4 linked regions of the Lepisosteus oculatus genome follow. The protein of the gene in region 1 interacts with the protein of each later gene in a pairwise test. Links are inferred from orthologs where the notes say so. Each region holds a gene or a part of one and is shown in the gene's direction. Other genes may lie near its edges. The genes, in order: ntaq1, junction plakoglobin-like, tle5 and cerebellar degeneration-related protein 2.

The links.
Region 2: the proteins of ntaq1 (region 1) and junction plakoglobin-like interact in binary tests that used the Homo sapiens proteins (3 or more experiments, as listed by UniProt). The two-hybrid records come from large-scale screens. The link is inferred for Lepisosteus oculatus from reciprocal best matches to the Homo sapiens genes NTAQ1 and JUP.
Region 3: the proteins of ntaq1 (region 1) and tle5 interact in binary tests that used the Homo sapiens proteins (3 or more experiments, as listed by UniProt). The two-hybrid records come from large-scale screens. The link is inferred for Lepisosteus oculatus from reciprocal best matches to the Homo sapiens genes NTAQ1 and TLE5.
Region 4: the proteins of ntaq1 (region 1) and cerebellar degeneration-related protein 2 interact in binary tests that used the Homo sapiens proteins (3 or more experiments, as listed by UniProt). The two-hybrid records come from large-scale screens. The link is inferred for Lepisosteus oculatus from reciprocal best matches to the Homo sapiens genes NTAQ1 and CDR2.

What each region holds. Positions count from the first base shown.
Region 1 is NC_090705.1:10,684,819-10,692,025, reverse strand, and holds the start of ntaq1 (protein N-terminal glutamine amidohydrolase), read left to right. Parts: upstream 1-4,196; 5' UTR 4,197-4,295; coding exon 4,296-4,375; intron 4,376-4,824; coding exon 4,825-4,924; intron 4,925-6,356; coding exon 6,357-6,407; intron 6,408-7,072; coding exon 7,073-7,207. Other genes in the region: ATPase family AAA domain-containing protein 2, read right to left, coding at 1-82, 2,591-2,764. UniProt on the Homo sapiens protein: Mediates the side-chain deamidation of N-terminal glutamine residues to glutamate, an important step in N-end rule pathway of protein degradation.
Region 2 is NC_090723.1:10,149,748-10,157,638, forward strand, and holds the start of junction plakoglobin-like, read left to right. Parts: upstream 1-4,878; 5' UTR 4,879-5,025; intron 5,026-7,891. UniProt on the Homo sapiens protein: Common junctional plaque protein. The membrane-associated plaques are architectural elements in an important strategic position to influence the arrangement and function of both the cytoskeleton and the cells within the tissue.
Region 3 is NC_090724.1:9,409,141-9,416,890, reverse strand, and holds the start of tle5 (TLE family member 5), read left to right. Parts: upstream 1-4,737; 5' UTR 4,738-5,277; coding exon 5,278-5,304; intron 5,305-7,750. UniProt on the Homo sapiens protein: Transcriptional corepressor. Acts as a dominant repressor towards other family members. Inhibits NF-kappa-B-regulated gene expression. May be required for the initiation and maintenance of the differentiated state.
Region 4 is NC_090714.1:16,649,085-16,656,328, reverse strand, and holds the start of cerebellar degeneration-related protein 2, read left to right. Parts: upstream 1-4,239; 5' UTR 4,240-4,490; coding exon 4,491-4,572; intron 4,573-7,244. Other genes in the region: mfsd13al (transmembrane protein 180-like), read right to left, coding at 1-12, 324-1,052, 2,869-3,105.

The sequences.
Region 1 (7,207 bases):
CCTCTTGCTTTTCCTTCTGCCCGTTTGTCTTCCTTAGAGATAGTTCAGCTACATTTTCTTCATCCTTTACTGATACATGGCTCTAAATTCAAAGGAAATTTTGTAAAACATGTGTCATTTCTTATTTCTTATTATAAAAAAAATAAGACAAGAAAGCAGAATTGATTTTGGGTGAAAACACATTTTCCTAGATTCTAGATGCGCTTTTCCTCACATTTGTGCATGAAGATTATCACAATGTCATACCAAACAAACGTCTTTCTTGATGAGGCTCCTTCTGTTTCTATTCAGCCCAACCTTACAATCGTTGACTGTAATAAAAATCAGACTCCAGCTGTAAAATGCCTTCATCCTCTCAACAAAGGTACGAAACAGTATACAGTATCTCAGCAAGCTGAATTAAAAGAGGAAATCTTACTGGCTTACCAGTTTAAATGTACCTAAAAGTTACAATAAAATAGCAGATCTAGTTCTTTCCATAGCTTTCACCTGTAAATTAAGTTCCACACTCGAAGGGTAGTTCCCTAAATACGTGCAGCAGGCCTTTCACCCAGAGATCTTATATATTATCCATTCATCCATTTTCTAACCGCTTCTACCACAGTTCAGGGTCACAGGGGAGCCAGAGCCTATCCCAGCAACCAACGGGAGCAAGGCGGGTGGGGTCCATCACAGGGCACACAAGGGCCAAATTTCCCAGAAGTCAATTAACCAACTAATAGATGTTTTGGAGGAAACGAAAGCACCCTGAAGAAACCCGTGAGAATACGGGGAGAACACACAAACCCCATGCAGACAGAACTCCGGGTCCAAGATTCAAACTAAGGCCGCAGTGCTGAGAGGCAGCAATGCTATCTGCTGCAATATCATGCTGTCCAAAATTAAAATCTGATTGACCACATTACAGCACAATAATAATAACTGCTTACACTTATATAGCAATTTTCTGGACACTCAAAGCGCTTTACACCACCAGTGTGCAGCATCCACCTGGATGATGCGACGGCAGCCATAGTGCACCAGAACGCTCCCCACACATCAGCTATCAGTGGGGAGGAGAACCGAGTGATGAAGCCAGTTCATAGATGGGATTAGGAGGCCATGTTTGGAAAAGGCCAATGGGAAATTTAGCCAGGAAGCCAGGATAACACCCCTACACTTTCCGAAAAACACCCTTGGATTTTTAATGACCACAGAAGTGTCAAGACCCTGAATTAAAGTCTCATCCAAAAGACGGTGCCTTTTTACAGTACAGTGTCACCGTCGCTATACTGGGGCATTAGGACCCACACAGACTGCAGAGTGAGCACCCCCTGCTGGCCCCACTAACACCTCTACCAGCAGCAACCTTAGGTTTTCCTAGGAGGTCTCCCATCCAGGTACTGACCAGGCTCACACCTGCTGAGCTTCAGAGGGCTGCCAGTTGTGAGTTGCAGGGTGAAATGGCTGCTGCTGCAATATCCAATTGATTCAGAACATCAGGCTCCAGACATACTGGACACAGGTCAACTAGCAACATAATCACTGACGCTGCCAGGTCGTGTTTTTATTAAGATTTCCATTTAAGGTTTCTTTTTTTCACTTAATAACACTGCCTTCTGTGATCTGCTCCTACAACTTTTGGCCAGCTATTGGACAGCTTTGAGCTGTTACCAACTGATGGGAGCACTTGTGCAAATTTCAGCGACAGATTACTGTTCAACAAATCATAAAAGACAATTTCTTAACTACGACGATGGGGAGTAACTATTTTAAAGACACGCTTTAGATACTGCATTCTGTGCCTGGAGAGATCACGACTTTCTGCTAACGTTTAGCTGGCACTGACGTTACTACTCGCAGTAACTTCAAAATCATCCCCTTTCGTCTCCAGGTGTCCACTACTGTCCACCTCAGGAATTATTCATCCTCGGATCTGCAGTATGACAACCGAGCCAGCAGCAGATTTTGACATGATCTCCTTTATTCAGTCAAGTCGTAAGGTTAGTAACTGGGCTCTGATGACCCGGACACGCTCACCTCTTCGCCTCTAAATTAAAACACATGGACATGGAAACTGAACTTTGATAGGTCGAAAACGAAGCTAATTACCGATAGGCCGGTATGAAAACAAGTCGTATAACGCGTGAAGGAAAACTGTCAGTAACCTTAGTATTTTGCATTTATGTTTCTCTGTTTAAATGCAAAATAAGAATTTTACGGACTGTGCACCGGGTTTCGTCCTCTGTTAATTCACACGTCATCCCAACTCTCACTCTCTTTGCTAGAAGTCAGTGATGCTGTCAGGCAGCCCAGATCATCTGATCTGAGAAAGCTCTGGGCGACCAGAAGAATAAACCGACGCCGTAGTCCAGTTGTTATCAGTTTGTTGCGATTAAGAGCCAACACGCAAGGCTCCCTATATCACGAAGTGTCCGGCTGATCTGGGGGCCAGCTGTCAGCCCCCGACTCAGACAGTTTCTTGGGAAGAAACCGCAGCTCGTCTAGTCCAAAACAGCTGTCATTCCTGACGCACACACCCTCCCATTAACAGCTTTATCATTATTATTATTATTATTTCTGGTAACCCGCGAAAGGACAGGAGGCTCACGTGTCGAGTCGGGGTGTTCTCGGCTCCGCTCGAGCTGTCATCCGCGGCCCTCCTGGAGCGCGCGGAGCGTCTCCGCGCGGACGTCAGGGACAGAAACTCGGCGCTCGAGTCCAGCGCCGGCAGCTTCTTCGGGGACGCGGGGTCCGCGCCCGCACTGCTGCGCAACATCACCATTATAGCCCCCCGTTCTCCTGCTCAGACCGTCAACGGACGTGTTGGAAAAGTGAAGAGGTTTCAGAGTAGGAACAATCCGCTCATGTCCCTTTTCCGGTAGTGGCCGGACAGTTGCCGCTAGCAGACAACCTCTCACTTTTTCTGTTTTTCCAGCCCTTGATTTCTGGCGCCACAAACGTCACAGAAAGTCAGATCACTACCTGTATGTTGCTCCGAAGCAAGAAATAGGCCACGTAGGTACACCCTCTTCACTTTGGAAAGTAACGTCCTGTTTCTGACCACACTATGCTGAAATGGCGGTGACGATAAGGAATTTCTATATGACACCCCTGCGTCCTGTCGTTCTTGTTTTCTAAACACCTTAAGAATTTTATTCCATCCTGCGTAGTGATCTATTTTGAAAGGGTGCCCCGGTAACTTTTTGGCGCGTAGTAAACAACGCCACACGAGGAGCTTTCATTGGCTAATAACAAAGGCCCCGCCCCCAAGCCGAGGTCATAACAAGCACGTGAGGCTCAGGGAAAACGCGGGAGCTGTCAATTCAAAACAGCCTTCTGTTGCAGTGCATTCTGAATATCTGCGTTACACAGTTACAGGCGTCTCTAAGAGGGGCAAATAAGAACAAAAGGAAAGCTGCACTTTATGAAATAAATGTACATTCCTTACATGTCTCAAATACATACAGAAGCGAGGTTCATTCTTTCAGTTTGTGCACATAAATCTTTAGTGTTCGTGGTAAAACCAGCGAATACGTTAATAATGAAAACTTACCAATGAATTTGGGATTAATTCAGTTTATTTATCGTCCTAGAAATAAGGCAGAAGGACCCTGGGAACCTCTGTTTATAGTTTTATAGAGGATTGCATTTCGTATGTATAAAAGCCATCTCTGGCTGATTTTGTACAATTTTTTAAGAAGGAAAACTGCTAGCCTGTTTAAATTTAATGAGTGAGAGGAGAGGGATTTCACAAACTCATTGAACGCCATGCTCAGACAAGCTTATTTTGTATTTGTGGACGTCATGTACTTTTATCAAGTATGAAACAACCAAGCTAGTAGGTTTGCTGGCGCGAACTAGTAACGATGAAACTGTTTTTTTTATTGTAGTCATATATCGAGTCTGTATAAACGACTGTTTCTGATTGCTATGGTTAACGTAAAGTTAAAGTTCGATTAAGTATTTATCTCTATACCGTTGCTTTTGTATTCAAAGGGATGACTGTAAGAAATGTTTAGCTTTGAACCACAGTGTTTGATCTTTCATTTGTGCATAACACTAAATATACTTTTCATAGTCAGGTTATACATAAAGGTTTACCAATAAAAAGCGGGTGAAAACAGTCTGAATTTATATCCACCAAGAGGTTAACATATTACATAAAAGTTGTTTGCCACCCGGAGCAATAAAGGTGTAACATATCCAGTCCCCCTGTTTTTAACGTCCGCATGATGTTACGTTCCTTTTTTAGATGAACAAGTCAAGAAAGTCAGGAATTCACTTTACTGTTCCCTGACATCTTCCCTCGAGTCATGAATAATACAAACGAATCATCTCATTATTGCAGTATTACACCTTCCAGACAAGACTGCATCTATACAAGCTGCTACTGGTGAGGACAATTGAGTTATCCACAGCAGATATTAGGGTATTCACGCTACCCTGTTGATAAGTCTCTTGTATTACTATCAATGAAACTGTGCGGCAGGACTGTGAATACATTTGTGTTTTTATTTACTAAAGTTGATTGTCCTGTTATGCCTTTTCTTAAGAGGAATTCTGCTTCGATGTTTAAAAGGTTTTTCTTTTGCTTTTGAAGGAACCTTTAAATGCTATCCGGATTGTCACGAATAGAATTAAGTTTGTTACTGTGGGGTTTTTTTTTGCGGAATGTTGTACCCTTAACGGTGTGCATAACCCCTTTTTAATCTTTACAGTAGCGCTCTTTTTTCCTGTTTTATATTTTTATTTGAGGGCATGAATGATGAATTTAGTTTACATTACCTCTAGTCGCCTGCCAATCTACCGATGCAGACTATTAAACTCTTTTTTTGTTGTCAGCGAAGAGAATGTCTGGAAGCTCTGCGAACACATTATGACTCGAAAACAATACCCTGAGGATGGAGTTTATGCAGTGTTTATATCCAACGAAAGAAAGATGGTAAGCTGTCACATATACCCCTGTTTTCACCAAGTCTAGGAATATATGCACAATGTATATAATGTATATACAATGTATAGCTCTGTTTTTGCTGATTGGAAAGACGGTATGCAGATTTCTGATTTTGTTTAATTGTTTTTAGCATCATTGTAATCATTTAATACTGACTGAGTGAAACACACGAATGACTTTGTTACATGAAAACTGATTGGTAACAGGCGATGAGCACATTTCCTAGAATAAACAGGACACAAGCTCTCTTCTCCAAAAATGTCTGTTTCACACTTCAATTTCAATTCAATTTATTTTTATATAGCACCTTTCACAACAAGGTTGCCCCCAAGGCACATATCAGTGTGACAGTACATGACGTTACAGTCCAGAAAGAGAAAAAGCCAGAAGACAACGGAGGAGAGGAACCAAAAACTCCTCTGTAAGGAGAAAATAAAACTCTAGGGGTCCAAGGTCAACTGGCTGCCCAACCCCTCTGGGCATGCTAACATTAAACAATTCCAAAAGAGTACTAAATGTGGAGTATTGAGTCTTCCATCATGTCCTTCTGTGTGCCAGTACTCCATGCAGTTATCTGTGGACCAGCAAATTCTCCTGAACTATAGCTACAGTATATTCGTGATCTCCCTCTTGGATCCATGGCAGAGATGCAGCATCCAGCTCAGATGGTGCCCAGCTTGGAACCTCTCAGCACTTCAGCAAAAGTCATTAAAACTGTTGAATGCCAAGGTGGAGGAAAATGAATAGAAAGAAAAAACGCATATGACTGCTACGCTCTGCTTAAATCAAGAGAAAAATAACTCTGTGTCACCAGTATGACACAATACCCAAATTACTGGGACAACAATCTCAAAACTGCTATTTTTGCTTTATTGCCAGTCTGTATTTGTGATCATGAAATTGCTATGATTGGCATGTCCAATCTTATATACTGTAACGCCCCGGGGTTCGCGTGGGTGTGCGCCCTCGCCGCTGCCGCCTCAGGACGGCCCCCCACCGTCAGGGACTCAAACCCGGGCCTCCAGCGTCACTCAACAGGGACCCAGCCACTAAAGGGAAATCTCCCATCAGCCTAGTGGCTACGGTCCCTGCTATTCCCAGGGAAGGGCGGTGACGTCACCGCGCGGATAAGCCGGCTCTCACAACCAATGGTGGCCGTATGCGTTACAATACTTTTTATTTTTAGGAAGCACCATTCATATGTTTGCTAACATTTGATGAAAAAGAAACTTTATTTTCAACCCAGTGATTTCAAGTAATTGGGACACTTGCAGCACAGACAATTTGATCCTCCAAATAAAATCATGAAATTAATTTTCATTTTATATGTTGATTAACTTAAAATGTGTCTGTTTTCTGCCTCTCTTTCAATAAGCTGTAAATGACGTATTAATGGAGTACAGTCTGTCTTGTGTTTCAGGTTCCAATCTGGAAACAGAAGTCAAGCCAAGGAGATAAGCCAGTAATTTGGGTAAATTGCACAGATAAGAACCCTGTTCATCCTGAGCCCCAAGATGAGTGTCGCATTAGAGAGTGCCATTTCAGATGCACCTGGTGGTAACCCAGCAAAATTAAACAGATATGGCATGACTAATAAAACCTTTATCCCTGTGCTAAATTTGCGTGTTCCCCCAAATGAGAAATCAACACAATAAAACAAAAGAGAATTACTGACAGCTGAGGCTGATTAAACCTGGCTGTTGTCACTCCTCCCCAACCTCTGTTATAAACTTCGTATCTGGGCAGTGAGAGAGAAGGCAAACAGCTCTCCCTGTCTGAGATCTTGAATTATTTTGTTAATCTAACTTGGTTCTTAACAGATCTCTAGCTCACTGAATCCTGCTCTCTAGGTGGGTGGGTGTTTCACGTGAAAGGAAGAGCAAAGGATTAATGATGAATAAACAGTTCTCTCCTGATTCAAGTTTCATGACATGTATATTAAAGATATTATACAATCAAGGTCCTAGATGACCAGTGTGTCTGCATTTCTTTAAGGCATGATGAACTATGGGAAGCTATTATGCACTGTCTAATTAAGCCGGTAACTAGCTGATTTATCTATTTAACGTCTGAGTTGCAGTGCAGACCTGCGGACACATCAATCCAAACTGATATACACATTATTCTCTTCCCCAGGACTACCATGTTATCCTGCTCCATGAGAGCCGTGAGGGCCAAACTTATATCTACGATCTGGATACCGTCCTGACCTACCCTTGTCCATTCGCTGTGTACGCAAGGGATGCCCTTCAATCAGATGATTTTATCAAA
Region 2 (7,891 bases), on another chromosome or scaffold:
GGCTCAGCCACCACCAGAGCCGAGCTCAGTCCCACTGCGGCTGACATACTTTCAATGCAAATCACACTTCATAGAATCGCTGGTGTTTGCGTGCAGGATTCTGGATTTAATTAACTGCAGTGCAACCACCACATTAGGAAGAATCCCTCACAGAGATGGCACAGAGCTCATTTTCTCCAGCCGCGCTGAGGCTGGGTGCGCTGTATGCAGACAACAGGAGAGCAGGATATTGTCTTGGGGAAGGATCTGGGGGGTCTGTATGAGAGGAGTAGCGTCAGGGGGCGAGAGTGGGGAATGAGTTTTCCTGAGTGTCCACCAGACTTTGTGATTTGAGGTACGATGTAACCCCCACCACACACACACACCCGTCTGCACTTGATTCCACTGCACCTTACTGCACCACAGCAGGTATTTGTAAGGGTCATGCAAATGTTTTGTCATGCTGCCCAATAACAACACATGCGGTATAGTTTCAGAGTGCGTGGGGAATGTTTCCCTGTGGAGTGCGGAGTGTGGAGTAATACGTTCTTGGTGGTCCAGAAGGAGGGCTTCCTGGCCGGGACAGCGGGTTCACACTGCAGGACCCCGGTGACAGACCTCAGCCAGAAAGAGAAACAGAAAACAAAAGTCTTGTGCTGGGGTGTGATTTGAGGCCTGGAGTCTTTTTTTGATTCCAAGCTGAGAATACGCTCCCAGACTGTAAAGTGTATTTCAGTGTCTTTCAGTGGTTCTTTAACTTTTAATTATCAGCTCTGAGGATTGCCTGCCAGATTGATTGATTGATTGATTGATTCCCAGAACAAACCTGACTCAGGGAGAGCAGTGATCCTTTTCAGTCTTACCTGGGGAGGATGTGTAGAGTACAAATCAGAGGTACAGTCAGAAGCTCAAAATGTGGACCCTTAAATCTGTTATTCCAAACTTGGCAACATGGGGCATGAGTGTAGACAATTGATGCAGACAGAGATGGTTATTCATGCAATTAAATTAATTGTATTAAAAATGACACTGATTTATATGAGATGTAACTGTCTTTAGCAATACAGACATCTTAACAGCAGTACCCTGTTTCTCAATTTGATCAACTCTGGACTGGGAATACTGAAGTGAGCTCTGGGCAGTGACCTGTACAGGTGGGTTCTGGTCAGCAGCGCCCAGCCCGCCAGCACCAGAGACCCGGCTCTGCTCTCCGGTGGCTCGGCTCTTCCCTCTCCCTGCGCGGGGAAAGGCTCTCTGTGTCACGCACACTGCTCCTGGCGCGGGCGTACAGACCAGACCGCCTTGCCTGAGAGCTGCGGAGCTTCTGGATCAATGAGCTCTGTTGTGTATAAAAACGAATTCCCTGCTCTCGCCCCCTGACGCTACTCCACTCACACAGACCCCCCAGATCCTTCCCCAAGACAATATCCTGCTCTCCTGTTGTCTGCATACAGCGCACCCAGCCTCGGAGAACAACCCTGCAACGGGAAGCACTGTTTCCTCCAGGACGGAGCCCAGTTGGAAACATCTGCCTCGCTGGTGCAGGGCGCTGGAGCACCCTGACTGTCTGACTGCCTGCCGGCTGGCTGTGGACTCAAGCAGATCAGTGTTGCTCAACCTGTTCTGTACCACACAGCGCCCTGAGGTCCTCCTCCTTGAGCAGCCCAGAGCACGGACGCAGTTCAGTCAGCGGGGCTCCTCCGGGCCGCTGCAGGGGCCAGTCAGCGTTGCTCCATCACCAGCACTGTCACTGGGGCAGCGACAGCACATCTGTGGCCAGCCGCACACAGCCAGCGTAGTCCGGGGGGTTCTCTGGGGTTCCCAGATACTGGGGTGCCCCTGAGATGGACTTCACCTTTACTTTCAATGTACCCTTAGAAAAAGAAGGCTGGGGGGGGGCAGTAGTGTCCCCACTGTGGCCACACTTGGGAAAATGTTCTCAGTCAGGTCCAGTCAAGCTTGGCAAGAATCGCCCAAGCCGAGCTCAGCCCCTTCCCCACGCTAGAGAAACACAGCAGCCTCGTGACACAGGTCGGGTGTGAAAAGCCGGTCTGTCCAGTCTCAATCCCAGTTTGGAGACACCCAATCAGATCTGAAATGATAGCCTCAGATTTAAGTGAGTTAAATTCTCATAGAATTCACAATTAAATTAGAAGCATGGAAGCCCCAGCACTCTAGTGCTAATTTAAGATTTTAAACAAAAGCTTTTTATTCCTTTCAGAAGCTTGTTCTCTGGCTTTCAGCACAGTGTGCTTAAGAGATAATTAATTTCCACCTCTCCCTTTTGCTGCTTTAAGAACAAATTAGAATAATAAAAAATCTCTATATGGTGTCTAATCTGTTCTCTTCTAATTATCTTTTTTAGGTGGTTCTTAAACCTCTATGTGCAGAGAAATTAGCAGAGAGCAGAGCTGCTGTTCTTTATAGCTGAAGGGGTCTAAGAATAATTGATGCATCTCTTTTCAAAAGGTTGTGATAGCCGCAGAGGGCTTCTGGGTCCTGCGTCGTGAGTAATTTCACTAGATCTGCCAGAAGGCCACTTTACTTCCATCACCGTCTCAGTCAAACTGAACACAGATGAAAGGAGGAATAAACAAACAGATGAAATAAATAAGGGCCAGGCCAGCGGAAAGCAGCTATTGCACAAACAACGAAAGACCGTGCATGCTCACTCAAAAGCCAAAGGAAGGACACAATAATGAAAATCTCCGCAGGCCTGTTTTTCTAACAGGAAAGGCAGCTCTTGCACACACTGTCATTAGCCCTGAGGCAGCAGCAGGACGCCAGTGGCCTGAGATACTCAACAGCTCAGGACTCAGGCCTCGGGCCAGCAGCACATCGGCTCCGCACGGCAGGCTCCGGGGGTGCAGAGGAGGGCTGGGGGCAGTAAGCTCTTCTCCGGGGACTGGTCTGAAGGAGGGTCATGGAGCAGACCCAGCAACCCTGGACTGATGCTCCCGGCCCTGCTGAGCTCCTGAGTCCTCGTCAGCCTGTTCCCTGACAGGCAGTCCCCTTGCTGGCACCTGCTGCCCCTGCGCCCCAAAAAGATCTGCTTTCTCTGCAGCTGCCCCCCCAGCTCAAGCAGAAAGCAGAGCGAAGAATCCCGAGACAAGATATTTATAGTCCTTCTCTAATTTCTGCAGGACCTGTATTCTTATTTTTCTTTCTTTAGCCTCGTTCTTGTTATCTCTCTCTTCATTTAAAGCTAAATGAAGAATTCTGCTACACGGGCAGATAGAGCTAAAAATGAACACCCACCAATATTCGAGCCATGTTCGGCTTATTTGTTACTCAGCAGTAACAAATACATCAGGGTCTTTGTGTCCTCTACCAGAGCACTGAGAAAACGTGCCTGTCAAGCACTGTTGCTGAGTAAGCCTCTCTTCTCCGGGAATGAGAACTCAAGTGAGAGCCTCCGCACAGGTAACACAGAGGGCCACACCTGCCAGGGCCTGACGTTCCCACGCCACACCTGTCAGCTGCAGCCTGTGAACCAGGGCAGAGGCTGCAGGGCAGGGTGCTGTCTGTGAGCTCCAGGGCGGGACCAGTGTCAGTCTGTATCTCGAGTGGATTATTAGGTGTTAATTCATTATGTTTGGGTGGAGCAGTGGCTCTGTGGCTAAGGATCTGCGCCTATGGCTGGAAGGTTGCTGGTTCAAATCCCAAATCCCAAGAGGAATCCTACTCTGCTCTGTTGGGCCCCTGAGTGAGGCCCTTAACCCTTAACTAATGGAGCAGGACTTTGTGTGCAGAAAACTGTATTGTTTCACTTTGTTTTATTTTAGACTCTAGCAATAAACTTATTTGTTACAGAACTCCTGAGGGCAGAGCTCTGGCCCTGGATTCCTGGGGTGCTGTCTGTGAGGAGTTTGTATGTTCTCCCCAGGATCGCGTGAGTTTCCTCCAGGTACTCTGGTTCCCTCCCCACAGTCCAAAAACATATTGGAAGGTTAATTGGCTTCTGGGAAAATTGGCCCTGGTGTGAGTGTGTCTGTGCGTGCCCTGCAATCGACTGGTGTTTTGTCCAGGGTGTACCCCGCCTCGTGCCTATTGCCTGCTGGGATAGGCTCGGGCTCCCCCACGACCTTGAACTGGATAATATGCTTAGAGAACGGATCGATGGATTATTTGTTTTTTTTTTTTCATTGACGAGCATTATTTGAATTAGCAGATCTATTCAACGTATGGTTTGCCTTCGCATGCAATTTGTTTAAATTCATTTCTAGCAGTTCTTCCTCATTTAAGCAAAAAGCTCAATACGTTGCTTTTGCCCTCGATCCCGGAGCCACAGTCCCAGCGCGAGCCCTGGGGACTGGCTTTGCTGGGAGCACGAGTTTCATCTCTCTTCAGCACGGGGCAGAAAACACGACCTCAAAGTTTCTGGTCAACACAAGCGGATAAAGGTCATATTGAAGTGTTCATAAGGTCGTAAGTCTTGTTCGTGATAACAAGGGGCAGTACTAATGGCGTTGAGACTGTGTTCATTTACCAGCAGGCCTGTGACTCACTACCTGTCTGGGCACAGTTTCATCACGTCACACAGGTGTGGCTCATTTCCACTTTACCTTTGCTAGGTATCCTGATCTCACGAGAGAAAAACACGAGGGGGCGGGGCATTGTGGAGAGAGGTGACAACGCCTTGTGTAACACACGCCCCCCCGTGCACGCCCCCACACGCCAGCAACCAATGAAAAGCTTTGAAGGGCGGGTCTTTATTGAGCAGAGATGATTGACATCAAGACTGAGCGCTCCGCTGGTTTTATCTTAAGAGCGATTGGCCACGTTCCTGCCACTCATCTAGCGCTGGGACACACCCTTACTGCCCTAACGCCCAATGGGCGCACGGATTCCGAGCCGTGGGCGGGCCGAGGCAGTGTGGGCGGTGTCTGGAGGAGAGCGTCGCTGTCTCTCGGTTATTGTTCAGTCGGGTCCGGAGTCTGGTGGTTGTGGGGATTTGTGGCGGAAACGCTGTGCAACAAACTTTTTTTTTACCCCGTTCGCCGAGTTCCTGGATTCACGGACGAGATCGACTATCTTTTTTCAAAGGTAGAGAATGTTTAACTGTCTTTTTTCTCCTGAGCGACGGCCAGTATTTGTACTAAACGAGGATGCGGTCTGTACTTCTGTGCGAGCGCTTCGGTAGGGGCTCGGGCTTCCCAGTTTCTCCCTGATGCGGCTGCTTGCAGTCTGTTGAAATGTGGGAACGGTGTTTGTTTTCAGCCTGCTGTTCGGACAATGTGGACGTGTTGCTTATCGGTGTCTGTCTCCTTTTCCAGTGCAATCTCTATCCAGGGTGTCGCTCGTGTTATTATTCCGAGAAGGAGAAAGAAAATGTTGCGCCGGTGTGTGGAAACTTTGAGGACGGTCTCGGCAGCTGTCACTGCCTTGAGCATTAAGATGGCCAGTAACTGTGCAGCTACAGGCGAGACTCCGTGTCTGAATGGGAGCTGTTTCGGCTCTTCTTGGGAGACAGGTGGGGTGCTGCCGGGCCGTGGGCAGCTGGTGTGTGCGGGGAGTTTTCCCGGTCCACACAGCTGGAGAAAGTTGCAACATTGTAAGTCTGAGCGGCGATCCGACGTGTTGAGCAGAAATAAGCTGGAAGAGTTACGGTGCGCGGTTTACCGAGGGCGGGAGCTCTCCCCTACTACACCGGAGTTTGTTGGGCTCGTCCCTGGCTGCGCTCCGCAGTTCGGTTCTGCCGAGCAGTCCTCATTGTGTGGCTGTGCTTGAGCAGGGCGGCTCTTCCTGTCCGGACTGCCGCGCACACCCGTGTGCTCCGGGCGGTGAGGCGCGCCCACCCGTCGCGGTGAGCAATTGTGGGAGCAGCTGGGGGGGGGGGGGTGGGCGAGCACTGGTGCAGACGGAAGCGCGCCTCTCCCTGCCTCCCGGGGAGGGGGGCGCCGCCGCACAGAAGTTACATTTTGTCAACTTCCCCTGGCTTTTCCCGACTGATTAGCGACATTTGACGTGTGAATTTCCAGTCCCTTTAATGAGTCGCACTACATTATCACCCGCAGTTTTGAAGTCTCCAGTTTATCTTGTGCATTAGTCGTCCAGCCCAAAGGGGTTCGGTTCTGATTCCAGTGTGCTGCCCCCCGCTTCTCCGCCTTTGTCGTGAGCGCCTGCACGTTGTTGCGGCTCTTGGTGGAGCTGACGGTAAGGGGCGGCTGTTCCGAGCGGCCGGGCTGGTCGCAATGTAAACAAGCCCCACCCCCACGGGCGGCAGACCGTCCCCGAACCGGACCTCCCGCCCTCGCCGGTTCTGTTACTCGTCCCCCTCTGTGCTCTGGGGCGGTTTGAACCTTCAGCGACACCAGTGGTGCGGGCTCCCCCGGTTAGCGTTCCTCTTCTCTGTACGCAGTGATTACCCGATTATAAACCCGTCCAGACTTGTCCACCTTAGACGGGAGTCTCGGCGCCTGCGGGGCGGGGGAAGGTGTCGACCTGGTCTTGTTGACGCGGAAGGTCCGCCAGCTCGGACGGGCTGTTGACGAGTGACGAGAGCGAAGCGCGCAGGGGCTCCTCACTGAGGGGTGGTGAGGTCCTTAAATCGAGCCTGTTTCGTTTCGAGTCGGAGATCCGATGCTGTGAGGCTGCCGGAGAAGCGCGCGCGGCTGGCAGGACCCTCTGCGCGAGGGGGCGGCGCATTCCACTCATTCCATCGTGGAGCTGCAGTCGGCGCCTCCAGAGCAGCGACCGGGGGCTGCGGAGGCACAGAGAGCGGTGAGGCAGGAGGCAGCTGTGAACTCTTGACCCTCCGCGGCCACAGCAGAGCCTGCCTGCCTGCCTCTTGCGCTGGGAGGAAGGAGCGACCCTGTCCTGTCGCGCTCCAGTCCCAGTGCTGGTGGGATGGCCTGACAGGCTTCCTCCAGGGACCGATCTCCCTCTGCACCTGTGGGGCACTGGTCTGTACTGTGGGGGGACAGCTGCTGAGCCCACTGCTGGCATGCCCGCTGTTCTGTGGGGCAGGTGCGATGGCTCTGCACCTGTGGCTGGAAGGTTGCCGGTTCAAATCCCGCGGCCGGCAGAGGAATCCTACTCCATTGGGCCCCTGAGCAAGGCCCTTGACCCCAGCTGTGCCAAGGGCACTGTACAATGGCTGATCCTGTGCTCTGACCCCCAGCTTCTCTCCCTGTCTGTGTGTCTCATGGAGAGCAAGTTGGGGTCTGTGAAAAGAAATTCCTGATACAAGAAATTGTATAGGGCCAATGACGTGATCTGATCTGAGGTGTCATGCTGATGGCTCCTCTTGCCCAGGAGAAGCAGTGGGCTCTGTGAGGCAGGTTGTGGGTTCGGGGGCCCCAGGTGCCCTCTGCCCCTGTTGCAGCGGTTTGATCTCCCCCACGTGCGCGAGAGAGCTCGTCTCTTCCCTGTTGAGCAGCTGTGCGAGGGGACCCCCAGAGCCGCGGGTTCTTCAGGAGCGAGGAGGAGGATGGAGAGAGGAAGCAAGCTGCGGGCTTGATTCCTCTCGGGGGAGGGGGAGCTCTGCACTGTGGCTTGATATCGTCAGCAGAGACAGGAGAGGCATGTCCAGTCACACAGCGATTTCATCCCACTGTTAGCTGGGACACAGCGCTCACACTCGCTCAGTGTCTGTGAGCCTTCGTGGGCACGGTGTCCAGCAGCTTGCAGTCGCAGTCGGGTTTCGGATTCACATCGTTTGTGACCGAGGCGAGCCAGGGCTGGCGAGACTCCAGGTGTCGGCTCCTTCCCTGCGGGGGTGCTGGTCAGCCCCCCGATCGGAGCCTCTCCAGAGCAGCGGAGTGGCTCTCGGCGGTTTTCAGAAGGTGGCCAAGCAGCTCAATGTTTCACATTGAAGCCACGTCTCGGCCGGTCAGCTGGCCCGAGGCTGCACTCAGAGGGCCGGCGCGCGGGGGGAGGCCACAGCTGTCACTGTGAGACTCGCCAGGTC
Region 3 (7,750 bases), on another chromosome or scaffold:
TTTTGTGCAACACAGTGTGCCACACACAGTGCAGTGTGGTACGGTCCTACACACAGTACAGTACAGTGATGAAGTCCTGCACATAGTACAGTACAGTGATACAGTCCTACACACAGTGTAGTACAGTGTGATACTGTCCTACTCATAGTATAGTACAGTCCAGTGTGGTACAGTCTTGCACACAGTACAATACAGTGCGATACAGTCCTACACACAGTACAATACAGTGTGGTATAGTCCTGCACACAGTACAGTATAGTACAGCACAGTGATACAGTCCTACTCACAGTATAGTACAGTGAATCAGTTCTACACAGTACAATAGTGTACAGTGATCCAGTCCTGCACACAGTACATTCAATGCTGAAAAGAGAAGACACAAAACGTTTCGGCTGTGAAGCCTTCTTCAGGTATGAGAAAGACAGGGCTGACAGCAAAGATTAAATAGCACTGAAGAACAAAAGCTGAGAGAGAGGAGGAGGCAGGAAGGGCAGAGAGGCAGAGAGGCCGCTCAGGAAGTGCAAAGTGGAGAGGGGTGAAGAAAGGTGTGAAGTCAGAACCAGCATGAGGATAGAAAAGATTACACAAAAATAAGTCTGTCGTTGAGAGAAGGGGGAAGGTGTGAACCTAGATTCAGAGTTTCGTTTCTGTAGTTTTTCTGCTGTGGGAGTTGAGAAACCCTCCTTTGACAACAGGGACAGAGAGATCGGTGTGATCATGGCCGTCTGAGGTGCATTGAGAAACTATGGGCTTTGAGAAATCTTAAATCTTCACAGCCCTAACATGTTCTCTGAAGCCGTCTCCTAGTCTCCTTCCTGTTTCCCCATCGTAGATAGCTGGGCATTTTCTGCAGGAGATACAGTAAATGAGGTTGCTGGAGGTACAGGATGTCGTCTGGGTGATCTGGAAGTGACCTGAGGGGCCCTGAATGAGCGTGTTGTTAGATATGTATTTGCAGGTGATGCAGCGAGCTCTGTTGCAGGGGAAGGTGCCTGGTGGGGATTGCCGAGTGCGAACGGGAGCTGTGAACAAGACGTTTACGTAGATTGGTTTGTCAGATGATTGGGCGGTTAGGGGTACCGATGGAGGGATCGCCCTGTAAAGTGGAGAAGTTGTTAATAATGGTTCTGGGGGTAGGAAGTGTGTGGTAGGGAAGCACCAAAGGAATGGGGTTGTGAGACGGGGAGTTCCTGATCGAGTTGATGATCCGAGGGCTGTTTTTGGCCCGGGTGAGAGCCCTGTCAATAACATGGGTGGGGTATCCTCTGTTGATGAAAAAAGAGACATTTTGAGTGCTTGGTTCTGGAAACCCATGTCGTCACTGCGGAGTCGATGTAGCCTGAGGAACTGTGAGAAAGGGTCTGGTGTGTTTTTGGTGTGAGTGGGGTGAAAAGAGCTGCACAGAAGATAGCTGTGTGAATCTGTGGGTTTGTAATAGACCGAGGTTGAGAGACGTGGACAGATACATTTATGTCTAGAAACTGAAGAGTGGTGGAAAATATGTTAACTGTATATCTGAGGGAAGGGTGAGAGTTGGTGAATTGATGCAGGAAGTGTTCTAGCTGGTCATTAGAGCAGATAGCAGCACCGACGCAGTCATCGATGTATCACTTGTAGAGGTCAGGGATGAAGCCAGTGTAGGAAGTGAGGAAGCGTTCTTCTACCCAGCCGACAAAAATATTGGCACTGCTGGGTCCCATCCTGGTGCCCATGGCAACTCCACTAACCTGCTGATAAAAAAAGGTTATAAAATGAGAAGGCATTGAGTGTGAGAACCAATTCCGCAAGACGCACTAGAGTGTGGGTGGGAGGGTCAAGCACTGTGTGTTTGTCTAGCTTGTGCTTGAGGGCTGTAAGACCGTCGTTGTGGGGAATGATGGTGGAGAGAGACGTGATATCCATGGGAAAAATGTAGCATTCTGGACCCTGAAATTGGAAATCATTGAAAAGTTGGAGGGCATGGTTCGTATCCCTGATATATGAGGGAAGCATTTCAACCAGAGGTCTCATAAGGCTGTCCCGGAAAGCAGAGCTGAGTGTGGTCGGACAATTGCACGCTGAGACAATGGGGTGTCCAGGGGTGTCGGGTTTTTAGATTTTGGGAAGGAGATAGAATTGGAATACTTGGGAATGTTCGACGATGAGACGGTTCGCTTCCTGGGGCAGCACCTGGTTGCTGAAAAGAAGAGCGACAGTGGATACCACTTCCTTCTGGTAGTCAGTGGTAGGGTCCTGTTGGAGAGGACGGTAGGCAGAAGTATCGGATAATTGTCTGGAGGCTTCCTTAATGTACAAGTCTTTTTGCCACACCACAACAGCTCCTCCTTTGTCTGCTGGTTTGATGACCATCTCATCCCTGGTGCGGAGAGATTGGAGTGCCTGAGTTTCTCCTTGGGTGAGGTTAGACCTGCGTTTCCTGGGTTTGGAAAGGGTCTTGGGAACTTGATTGTTGCATTGGTTAATAAAGTAATCAACTGGTGGAAACCGGCCGGAAGGGGGAGTCCAAGAGCTCCGTTTAGGATTTATATTGTTAATGGCATCAGTGAGGTGAGGAGGCGTTGTCAGCAAAATGAGCTTTGAGCCGAATCCTGCGGTGAAAACGGTTGAGGTCGACTTGGGTTTGCGGGATGTCCAGCTTCTTGGGTCTGGAACATAACAGGGCTCTGCTGAGAAGAGATCGCTCATCCTGTGAAAGAGAGAGGTCAGAGGGTATAGGAACCACAAGGTTAGGATTGGCTGAGGTGGTGAAAAGAGGATTGAGTGTGATTGAGTTTTTTACCCTTCTCTGAAGTGAGGAACTGGTGGAGTTGGGAGTTGAGGGATCTGATGAGGTTTGTTATGAAGAGAAGATGCTATGCAGCTGTGAGCCGTAAGAATGCCTTGGCTTCCTTGATGTTGTTGCCAGGAAGGGTCATCTGTTGTCTGAAGGAGAGGATGGTAGAAAGCATTAGTTTCCGCTAACACTGTTATAGAAGTCTCCGAGTATTACACAAGTCCAAAGAAAAAGTGTTAAATTTCAGGCGAAATCCTTTAGGAATGATATTATAACGACGACATCTGTAAAGGAATAGAAGGTGGTTAGAAAGCCTGGTCTTGGATCTTGGAACAGATCGCTGTGAAGAGGCGGAAAGCTGGTTTAGTGAGAGAGGGAGCAGGTAGCCCAGGGAGGAAGAGAAGGAACGACGAAGAGATCTAGAGAAAGATTTAGAGGAAGGCATAGTGGGTATAGTTATACAGTCCCACTCACAATATAGTACAATGGTACAGTCCTATACACAGTACAGTACAGTGATACAGTCCCACTCACACAGTGATACAGTCCTGCACACAGTACAGTATAGTTATATAAGTTCAGGTGGGTAGCTGCGTCAGCATGCGTAGGCTGCAAAGGAACAAGTAATAGGTTTATTCCATGCTGAAAAAAAGAAGAAAGAAAACACAACGTTTCAACTGTGGAGCCTTCTTCAGTATATAATCCTACTCACAGTACAGTGTGATACAGTCCTACACACAGTACAGTACAGTTATATAGTCCTACTCACACACTCCTACACACAGTACAGTGATACAGTCCTGCACACAGTAAAGTGATACAGCCCTACACAAAGTACAGTGATACAGTCCTGCACACAGTACAGTGATACAGCCCTACACAAAGTACAGTGATACAGTCCTGCACACAGTACAGTACAGTGATACAGTCCAACACACAGTACAGTACAGTGATACAGTCCTGTACACAATACAGTGGCCTTTCAGTTGACTCCACTCCATCCCTTGTACTGTTCAAACCGCAGCCAAAAGTTATTTCCCCATCAGCTGTGGCATCATACAGACAGCTCCTGATTAATTATTTGCAGTACAGATTATGTCTCATTAAATAGTTATGACTCTGGCCTTGTCTTATTAAAAATTCATTCGCAGAACCAGCAGGCAGTGCTCTGCTTTCAGCCGGGAGCGCTAGGTCCCGCTGGGTCCCGCAGGGCGGGCAGAGTGGACCTCTGAGACAGCACCACAGCTCTGGACTCGCTCGGACCGCTCCTTCTGATCGGCGCTTCCCTGTGCTGGGCCTGCGGGAAACATACTCCTCTTTCACAACTTCCTCTGAACCTACAGACGTCAGGGCACGAAACATCCCCATGCGAGACACAGAGTACTCGTCCACACACAGAGCTTCATCCAAACAGGTGAAGGTTCATTCTCTGCTGGAAGGTTAGAAAAAAGCAACACGACATTTGTTTCGGCACAACGCCTCGCTGTGTTTCCTTTCTTTTCTTTTCAGCAGGGAAAACACCTTCACCCTTTCCTCTGCGGCCGACGCTGCTCCCTACTCGAATTGATCTAGGTGAATCGTCTCGCTGGGATACCCACAGCCAGACGTCGTTTAAGCAGCCAGTGCACAGCGGAATCATCATGGCGGTCTAGGAGGGTTAAAAGACGGTTCCGGTCCTGAGGACTTAAAATCCCCCCGAGCAATTGAAAACGCGTGTAGTTCACAGTAACTAGACCCCCCGCACCCCTGGCCTGGACCCCACGGGTGTGCGGGGAGGAACAGAGCTCGCACCCGCGGGCCGGGAGGAGGGCGAGAGGGGGGACACATTAGACGGCAACACTTCCGCTAAGCGTTCGTGTTTTCACCCACCCGACAGCGCAGCCGGGGCCTGCCGAGCGCGCCCGAGCGCAGCGCCGCCCCAGTCCCGCGTCACGCGGGCCGCGCGGCTCGTGCGTGGTGTCAGAGCTCGAGCGCGGCGGCGACATGGTCGGTCAGCAGACACGGCACCCACACCGCGAGCGCAGCCCCACGCACACGACCCGCAGGGCGCTCTGAAAACACGTCCGCCCAGCTCATCCGCCCGCTGCCGAGCAGGCGCAGGACGGCGTGCGCCGGCAGACAGTAACGGCGAGGCAGGGAAGGGCTGCGGGGAGCAGCGTGATTGCGTTTCTGTCAGTCACGGGGAAGGGAGCCGCGCAGGAGCAGCGCTGCTTGTTCAAACTTTGGACCGTCTGGGAGGAGAACACGGTTCCGAGACTTTCTCTCTTAAAACAAAGGACAGAAACCCCAGCGCTCCGCAGTATGAGTGGGATACATTAGGGCCGGTTGGGAAGACGAACACAGGGCTGAGAAACAGGAGCGAGGCTCGTCTCCTGCGGTGACTGGCGTCGACGCGCCGCGAGCACCTCCGTCCCCGACACGGGGAGACAAAGGGAGCGATTCCAGGTCCCTCACCCCGGCTTTCGTCTTTGTTCGGCAGAAGGAATTAACAACAGGAAACTGACATGATGTTTCCACAATCCAGACACTCGGTGAGTCTCGGCGTCTTTATTCTCCTTCTCGATCCGCTCTCGCCGTGCCGTCGTGTTTAAAATCGCTGCGCGCGCGCGCGCGCGTCGAAGTGTGGGTGCGCGCGCTCGTGTGAGTGTGTGTTTTTCCTCCGGGCTCAGGGGGCACCCCGAGCGCGTGCACCCGCGCCCCCCCCCTCCGTTCCTCCGGCAGCAGCTGTTTACATTTCGGGGACCCGGCCGCCGGCGCCGCGCGGCTCCGCCGGGGTCCATTTTAAGACGCGCGGCGGGTCGCCCCTCCTGCCCCGGGGAGCGCGCGCCGTGCTGGGGGCAAACCTGGCGTTGCGTGAGCGCACGTCCGGGGGGCAGCGGCGGCGGCCCGGGGGCTACTACTGAAGCCGCGCCGCTGCCCCCCGGACAGCCGGCCGCCTTTCCGGCGAGATCCGCGCCTGAAGCGGCCCGAACGGAAACGACACGTTATTTCTGCAAAACTTCCACAAAATGGCCGTGTCCTCGCTCGCGCGCAGCGAGCTCGCCCGGGGACCCCGGCCGGGGATGGGGGTCCCTGCCGCCGCCGGCGGGCCGCTCGTCTGGGCGAGAGGCGAGGGAGTCACCCCCAGGGCCCGGGCGGGGGGTTTCCCCTGGACCCGGGGCCGGAGGAGGCGAGACGCGTTTCTCCCGCTGGTCGTCCGCGACAGTAACAGCTACCATCTTGAAGAGAGCAGGCGGACGATGAGGGACACACGCGTTTCACGATAACTTCATCAAACTGACGCTAAACTGAATATCGCCCCTCGAAAGTTGACCAAAATATGAAATTAAAATACTTAAGACAATGCCGTGTTGTAATTTATAGGGTATGTTCCTCAATTCCGCATTAACCGGTCCAGTTTAATACAGTTTATTTAAATTTAACCGGTTCCAATTGGCTTACATTTTAAACGTACTTCATTTTTACTGCAGCACCTTAAATGCTCATACGGCTGTTATTAATGAGATTTATACAGCCTTCCTCGGCTGTGATTAGGTGAGCTTGGAAAGAAACACGCACGCAGGCCACATTAATTCATGGCGTCTCAGCCTGATATTACATCATTTTAGATCGTGGTGCGTCTGGCCGTGGTTTTCGCTCTGGAGCTGCAGTCCGGGGGCTCAGAGCTGCTCAGATCTCCAGCTGGCGCTGAAAGACAGGTATAGAATGTAAATTAATTCTACTCGTTTTCTGAAGAAAGGATAGACCCGCAGAGTCCGGCCACAGATCAGCTCCAGAAGAAGGCGTCTTTGTCGCCTGGTTTGTGTTGATCATCTGGATCTCCGTCAGTTTTCGATTCATACGCTTGATTAATTAACAGGGGGTCCATGAGGGGCTGAGCAATGTGATGCCCCCCTCCCCCCGACAGGATCAGGAAAGCCCGGCGTTGTGTGTGGAGGTTCTGAAACTCCCGATGCGTGAGGTTCGGGAAGAGGGGGGTCCCAGTCGTCCTCCTCTCCAGGATGAAGAGGTTACCTGTGCACCTTGAATTGGAGCACCTGGGGAAAGCCCCTGCAGAGCTGGGCAGAACGTGCAAACTCCCCACAGAAAGGTGCCTGAGGTTGGAATGGAGCCTGGGACCCTGGTGCTGTGTCACTTGTGATTTCACCTGTGAGCGCCTGGAGTGTCACTACTGCTCCTCCTTGTCTTCACCCCCAGATCTCAACAACCCTCAACTAAGGTTGCTGCTGGAAGGGGTGTTAGTGGGACCGACAGGGGGCACTCACCCTGCGGTCCACGTGGTTTTAATGCTCCAGTATAGTGACGGGGGCACTGTACTGTAAACAGGCGCCGTCCTTCAGATGAGACGTAAAACCGAGGTCCTGACTCTCTGTGGTCATTAAAAATCCCAGGGCGTTTCTCGAAAAGAGTAGGGGTGTAACCCCGGTGTCCTGGCCAAATTTCCCATTGGCCCTTACCAATCATGGCCTCCTAATAATCCCCCTCTCTGAACTGGCTTCATCACTCTGCTCTCCTCCCCACTGAGAGGTGGTGTGTGGGGAGCGTTCTGGCGCACTGTGGCTGCCGTCGCATCATCCAGGTGGGGCTGCACACTGGTGGTGGTGGAGGGGATCCCCATTACCTGTAAAGCGCTTTGAGTGGAGTGTCCAGAAAAGCGCTATATAAGTGTAAGCAATAATTATAATTATTATTGTTATTAACTCGCCACAGTCAGTTACTGGTCCCGCTGGCCTCAAGGGGGGTACCAGCCCGGGGCCCAGTGCCCAGCGTGCTTTCTGCCCCTCAGGCTCCACACACCCTACAGTCCCTACAGCAGTGGCCCGAGGGGGACCCCGAAGACTCAGGACCCCAGCCTGAAACCTGGGCCGAAAGCTGGTCTGTGTCTGGCGTGGGGGCGCTGGTGTGGAGCTCATGTCCTCCTCCTGGGGAAAAGATCCGGCGCTGCTGAGGTGCTCAGAGGTCTCGGGATCGAGGAGC
Region 4 (7,244 bases), on another chromosome or scaffold:
CAGGACCAGCACCTGAAAACACACGGGGCTTAGAAGGAGAAGCACTGCGGATCAGGCAGACGGTTTTGAAGGCTGGGGCATATGGGTTAATAAGGGAGGCTATATTACATCTACACATGGACCATGTAGAATTAGGGGATAGGCCAGGAATAAGGGTATAGGGTAGAGTAATAGAGTATAGCATGAAGTTTTGATTTTGGATTTGCACCACAGTAATAGTGCTTTTCATCAGGAAAACTGTCTTGTATGACTGCATGCCCCCCTGACCAGTCAAAATATCCCCCAGTTCCCGATGCCCGTTACCAAGCGCTGGTCTGCGGTACCTGTGGGCAGATGAAGCCGACTCCATACATGATGCTCTTGGCCAGCGAGGGCAAGACCTCCCTGGGAATGAGGTGCTCTGCAAAGATCATGGCGAAGTTGTTGCAGAACGCCACCATGAAGACCTGGAAGAAGTTCATGGTCACGAAGAGCTGGAAGTCCCTCTGGTTCAGGATCTGCCAGGTCAGGGAGCAGACCGAGGCCAGGGACAGGGCGGCGCCCCCCGGAGGCTGCTCCTCCGCTTGGCCCCCCCGCCCCGCGTAGCGGCTCTCGCTGTGGAGGCCCGTGTAGAGCATGCAGCCGCACGCCAGCGCCGCGGCTGCGACGGTGAAGGCCTGGAACGCAGGGAAGTTATCCATGTTCCCAGACATCAGCCCACAGAACAGCACGCTGGAGGAGCCCAGCAGGGACGCCACCTGGTTGTACTTGATGAGCTTCAGCCTGCTCTCGTGCTGGACAGATATTTCGGCAAAGAGGGCGCACTGGGCCAGGAGCACGAAGGTCAGCATGCCGTCAAAGGCACACAGCGCCACGATCAGGTGCACACCGCTCAGCCAGTCCCCCGCCGCGTAGGGGCGCCACGGGAACCAGGCCAGCAGGAAGGCCAGGGCGTAGAAGGGCGCCCCATACAGGACGGCCAGCCGGCGGCGGGAGCAGCAGGGCATCCCGGAGTTGTCCTGGACGTAACCGAACAGGGGGTCGTTCACGGCGTTCCAGACCATGTAGATCACCTGCAGCAGAGCGCACGGGACGAGGAAGGGACACTTCAAGCTGCGCGCAGGAGGAGAGTCAGTCACTACATTACTCACACTCAGACCAACGAGATGGGCCAGACCATCCCCTCTCAGTTCCCTCGCCCTCTTCAGAAAACACAGCAGAATCCACAATAACTATGAGCCTTCATCTAGTGATAATAATAACAATAAACTTTATACTGTATAGCACCTTTAAAAGTGGCTTCTCAATGTGCAGAATTACACAACTGCACTAAGGGTTTGGAATACAGCAGGGAAGCAAAGGGGCAGACAGAGAGCCAGTTCAATAAAAGCCCTTCTGAAGAAGGCTTTGAGTCTTGATCTGAGTGTTCAGGGAAGGTGACTCTCGGATGTCCTTTGGGACAGATTTCCAGAGCTTTGGGATGCAGCAGGAGAAGGCCCTGTCACCCAAAGAGGGTAGATGGGCTGATGGGACGAACAGCAGACCGGAATTAGACAGTATGAGCTGTGATGTGATTTTTATTAAGAAATGTTACGCTGGGGAAAGGTGGTACACAGGCGGCTAAATCCTGCAGCTCTTACTCGAATGGGGTGGGTCTTCATCATGCGCGTTTGGAGACGCGCACTGAGAAAAAAGAGCGGACTGTTCTGGAACAGGAGACTGGGCAGACTGGCACGCCGTGCTCTTTATTTTCTCAAAAGCGCACTCTGTTTCCTGAGGCAGAGGAACAAGTTTAAGTTCTGCCCTGGCTTGTTAATTAACCTAAAGGTGCCTTGTGTTCCTTCTCTGCTGCCCTGGATACAGCACACAATGAAATCCTCTCAGCACTCACTGAAAAAGCGCAGGAGCTATTTTAAGGACGCCAACAGCTAAGGACCTACATAGCACAACACTGAACTAACCTAATCACCTTTGATGTCATGTTTCTAATCCATGGGAGGCCGATTCTCTGCTGTCGTGAGGCACAAAACACCCACCATGCCAGTAAGACTCATGGGGACGAGTCTCAGGAGGAGGAGAGTTACATGAATAAGGGTATCTGTAGCATCTCGCACTTCCTCAGTGGGGAGAGTACGGACAGACCTCTGTGTCTAGGGAATACACAAACCTGACACCACAGGGATCTGATCAGCTGCTCCCGAAGGCCACAAGCAGGATGTTCAGAGAGACACAGACAAACAGACAAACAATCAGAAGGAATGCTAAAGGAGGAAACAGCCCAGGAAGACATAAGGAGTTGCATGAATTCATAACTTTCAATCTCTGTGTTCTCTCTTTCCTTGTTCAGAACCCCCAGGCACAAATTCCCATGGTATAATTAACCTATAGGTTCAGACTGTTCAACTACAGAGTGTTTTTTTTTAAAACCAAAACTTCCATATTATACTACTATAAACATATATAGTTCCATTTTTCCAAATCCTGTTTAGTTGTAGTAGTTTTTTCCTAAACCCTTTAGTTGTAGTAAACGGAGATGGTCACAGAGATGTTTCATCTCCTTCAAGCAGGTGCCTCGTCGCTCGGACTGGCAGGGCATTTACCTTCCACCCCTTATGTCCTGCAGGGACTTGAAGATCCCGCCAGCAGAAAACATCTATAAACTCTGAATCGGGGCTTTGAAGAGCAGGGGCAGTGACCTCACACTGCAGACTCAGAGTTCATCTCCCCACCAGCCAGGTGACAATGCTAGCCTACAGTACAGCATATGTGAGTACTGATTTTTTCATGCAAGAAGACAACTCGAGGTCAGCGAGGGCTAAAGGGCTACAGCACGCTACCCTGCTCTGGGGGTGCGACTTGCGTGGAAAAGCCCCGTGGGTCAGCACTCGCCTGCGCCTGGTGAAACGCCGACTCCGAGATCTGGAACTTGTCCAGGAACAGCTTGACGTAGTAGAAGCTGAAGATGCTGTTCATCATGCCGGCGCCCAGCGTGGTCATGGAGTAGGCCAGCGCGCCCGGGTGGACCCCGAGTCTCGCCAGGAGCCGCATACCGGCCGCCCTTCCGCCCCCGCGAGAGCCCTGAGCGGGGTTCCCCGGAGCGGCGCGCGCCCTGGCGCGGGTGCTCATCCACGCGTGACGCCTTCCCGCACGCCGGACCGTGAGCTATCGAGGGCTAGCGCGGCTAATAACAGACAAACAATGAATTAATACGGGGGTATTTAAGTGCGATCTCATAATACAGCTAACGAAACAGGGAAAGAGTGATAGGGTTTTAGTTAAGCACAACCAGTCATTAAGTTCAAGGAACAGGATTCCCGAAACAAGTCAGGCTGGTTTGTGGGCATTGCAGGAATTGTCAGTTTTGCCATTAAAGCCAGGCTGACAACACAACATGCTGTGCCCCAGAAGCTGTGAAATGAGCTGTATAAAACTGAAAGATCCGGCACTCCTACTCTTAAGAATATACTATCATGCACAATATAAAAACCCCATTGCATTCACCTCATTGAGAGGTGCGAATCACGGTAAACACCACAGTAAATTATTGTCACTGTACTCCCTCGGCTACATATAAACAGATTTTCCCTGGGCTGTGGTTTGTCAGTGTATTTTTCTCTAACATATATAACAAATATATATTTCTCTAACATAAACGAGGTTTAAAAGCATTTTACAAACCAACAAACACTAGCAGTAAACAGTAACTGGCACTTTGAAACCCCGCCCCTCTTGTCAATCGATTCCTTTGATACATTTCTGCGTTTTTATGACAAATATTTAAGAAAAAAACCACAATTTCTGAAACCGAGCTTCCTTTGCGTCGACGGTTATAACTCATTAGTTGTGAAAAGACACAAAACAACTACAACGGAAGTTCTTCACAAAAAGACTTTCAAACCACTGCTATTGTTTTCAGAAAAAAAACATGCAGTTTCATGGGTCGTAAAGTCTAAGGTTCTAGCAATGGCGACTCCTGCAGTGGCTCTCTTGCGCACACTCCTATTTTCTCCTCTTTGATCAAAGGTTAATTAAAAATGAATGAGTTAAAACTGAACCTACGATTTCTCGATATCCTCGCAGCCAGCTCAGCTGTGTGCGCGCGCGGAGCCCGCGTATCGCGGAAGTGGGCGGGGCACCCCCCACCACCTGAGACCCTCCCCCTGCCTGCGGTGATTGGACGCTGCCCGGCGTTCCGGACCCGCCTCCCCGGCGTTTCAATGCGCCCCCTCCAAGCGATCAAGTGACGTCGGCTCCCATTGACACGCCCGCTCCTGACGTCGCCGCGGCGCAGGGGTTGGGTGCCACGTTGCTGCAGCCCGTGCGAGCCGCTGGAGGCTCCAGAGCGTCGCGAGCTCAGTCGCCGGCGAGCGTGCTGGTGTGTGTGTGTGTGTTGCACCCAGGAGCAGGAGCTGCCCGCTCTTCCGAGACAGAGGAAAAAAGGACGGGACAGAACTGCCCAGCGGAGGACAAGAGTCCCCAGAGTCGTCGTCCTCCCCACCCCGGCCGCGAACATGCTGACCGATATGATGGTGGAGGAAGAGTTCGAGATCAAGGAGGAGGAGCCGTGGTATGACCACCGGGACCTGGAGCACGGTAGGGCTGGGGCATTTAAACTCCTCTTCAGTGGTGCTGAAGAGAGCCGAGCCAGGTAGCGGCGCCGGGGCTCACCCATCGCCCGGGGCTGTGCGCTCAGCGGGCAGCGGGGGAGATGCGTCCCAGAAACAAGCCTCTAAGGGCGACGTGCGCGTTTCTGTTGTATGATTAGTGTCGCCTGTCAAAACGTTGGTTTACAACCGAGCCGCCCATTTGAAAGCGAGTCCCCATCCCCAAAAAATCTCATGCAGCGTCTACATTGTTTCGTAAAACTGTCCTCACGTTTTTGTTTTGCGTTCCCGGGGATGCATTTCCCTTGTAAGAAATGAACACTGATTTTTAGTTACAGATCGATGTAAAAGAAGATGTTAAAAGCAAGTATATATATACATGTCATGCTTGCTTTAACCTAACGCGGTTAAACCGCAGTGCTGCGGACGGTCGGGGGTTTAAAAACTCCACGACAGTGTTGTGTTTTAGCAGTAATGTTCTGCTATTTTTTTCCGACCCGGCGTGAAAATGTTCGTTGCCGGGGGTGTGATTTAGAATTGAATGTGAATTGCAGCATAATCTGGGAAACGCTGAGTCGCGTCGGCGGATCTCGCACAAAGCCCTTTTTGTCGATAAATTCGGCCACATTCGCAAGCCGCTCGTCTCCCGTGAGAAGTGGGAGCTGTTCGCCTGGTCACTTCTTCCCCGCAGCTACTGCAGCTCAGAGAGGAAGCAGCCTTATCTGACTCCTTTGTCATCGCGATTTCAACAGCAGCAAAGCCAAGCTAGACTGGACCGCCCAAGTGCTCGAAAAAGCAATGACATGCTCGGAAGGCATTAATAGGAGCATGCACTGAGCTGCCGAGAGCAGTGACTTCTTCCTTGCACGTTGTTTTTGTAAGGAAGGATGTCGTTGACTAGCCGCGAGAAATGGTCAGAGCTCTTCAAAATATAACCGAGTTTAAGGCTTTTCGATGAACAGAAATTCACCGCAAACACAAGTGTTGCATCGATGTGTCGCTCGGCTCCCAGTTGAGATAGCTGCGGTTTCCCTGTGAATTTGCGCTCGCATTTCCTGGATCAAGAAATTAACCCATTGGAAACAAGGCAGCTTTCTGACGCAGATGCAGCTTTTAGCATCCCCCGAGATAAGAATGTTTACGACCAATGTGCACCCATTTAATGAACTAATTTATAACCTCACGACATGCAAAAATAATTGAGGATATATTTCTCTGTGCTCCCCCTGACCTGCTGTGCGGTGAGGGTGCTGTGTGCTGCACCTCACGAGCAGCGAAGTGGGTCCCCTCCTGTATACAAAGCGCTCGGGGATCCTTTGAAGAGCACTATACAAGTGCAAGGAAATATTATAGATTCGTGACCTTCTCTTTACGTTACAGTTACTTGGGCAGCACAGTTCTGGGTTCTTGACATGTTCGGCTTCAAACGTCTCACTGTGTTTCCAAGTTATTTTGCTGGGAGGTAATGAAATCGGTGTTTTTGTGCTGTAGGCTGTAATCATTTGCAGTGTTGGGTTTTTTTAACGCAAGGAGAAGCTGCTCTCTCACCTTTTCCAGTTTAGGGTGTAAAACAGTATCGAACTGCAAGTCACTTCCAGACCACTAAAAACCTCAGCAACAATTCTGTTTGCCACTTCATCTCAATACATTCACTTTTGTCTGCCTGATACTAGTTCCGTCAGACTTCAGAAGACCTGGGCTAACCATTGTTGCTCACTTTATGCTTCCACATTCAATAAGTAGAAATGTGGCTTTGTCTCTAAAATGCCTCACAGATATTGTTTGCACCTCTGGGATTCTGACTCGAGAAGTAAATTGTAGAGGGTGAATTTCCGAGTGCGTTTCTCCTGAGTGTCAATGGTGGATGCTCAAGGCAAAGGCGATCAGACGGTTGAGTTTTCGAGCCTCAGGCAGACCCCTGTGTGTGAGCCAGCGCCACTTAAACGAGGCTCTTTGTGAAACGATGAGCTGGCAGAAAACGGATTGCAGGTCCTGAGCAATGCAAGATATTGCACCTCTACTTAGGAAGATGGGCAAACTAGACACAGGCCAGTTTCCCTCTCAACACTGTGTAACTGCAAAACCGCATTTCTTAATTGTCAGGTCTGGCTGGCTCTGTAGCGACCCTACTGGACTAACACCCCAAGATGATTTAACTACCAAAAATAAAAAAGTAAGACACAACCTAGAATTAAAGAGAGAGACCATAAATAGGCATTATAGACGTCAGCTACTACTTAGTTGTAAGACGGAGAGTACCCTGCTTTCACACTCTGGAGGTATATTTCTCCACACCTTATGAATACAACACCCAGTGGAAAAAGAACTTGAGGTCACTTAAATGGACAATGCAAACGAAGTGTGGACAGGTTCCCTAGCTATGACACTTATTTTAAATATAGATTTTTCTCCATTTGCAATGTAACAGGCGCTGTGTGCCGCCGGCACAGATAGTCTGCAGAAATCAGAATTGCAGGATTTGCTTCATGTATCTAATAACCTTTTGCACAGAGAAAGTGCAGGTTTATACTGCTGCAGGTCATGAATCCCAAAGCAGATGAGCAGTGAGAAGGGTTTTCAAGGCGTAAGGAAACGCAGGCAGGAAAGGACATGTTCACAAGGAAGGAATCTGCCATCTGTGATACGAGCCCCCAGAACCCC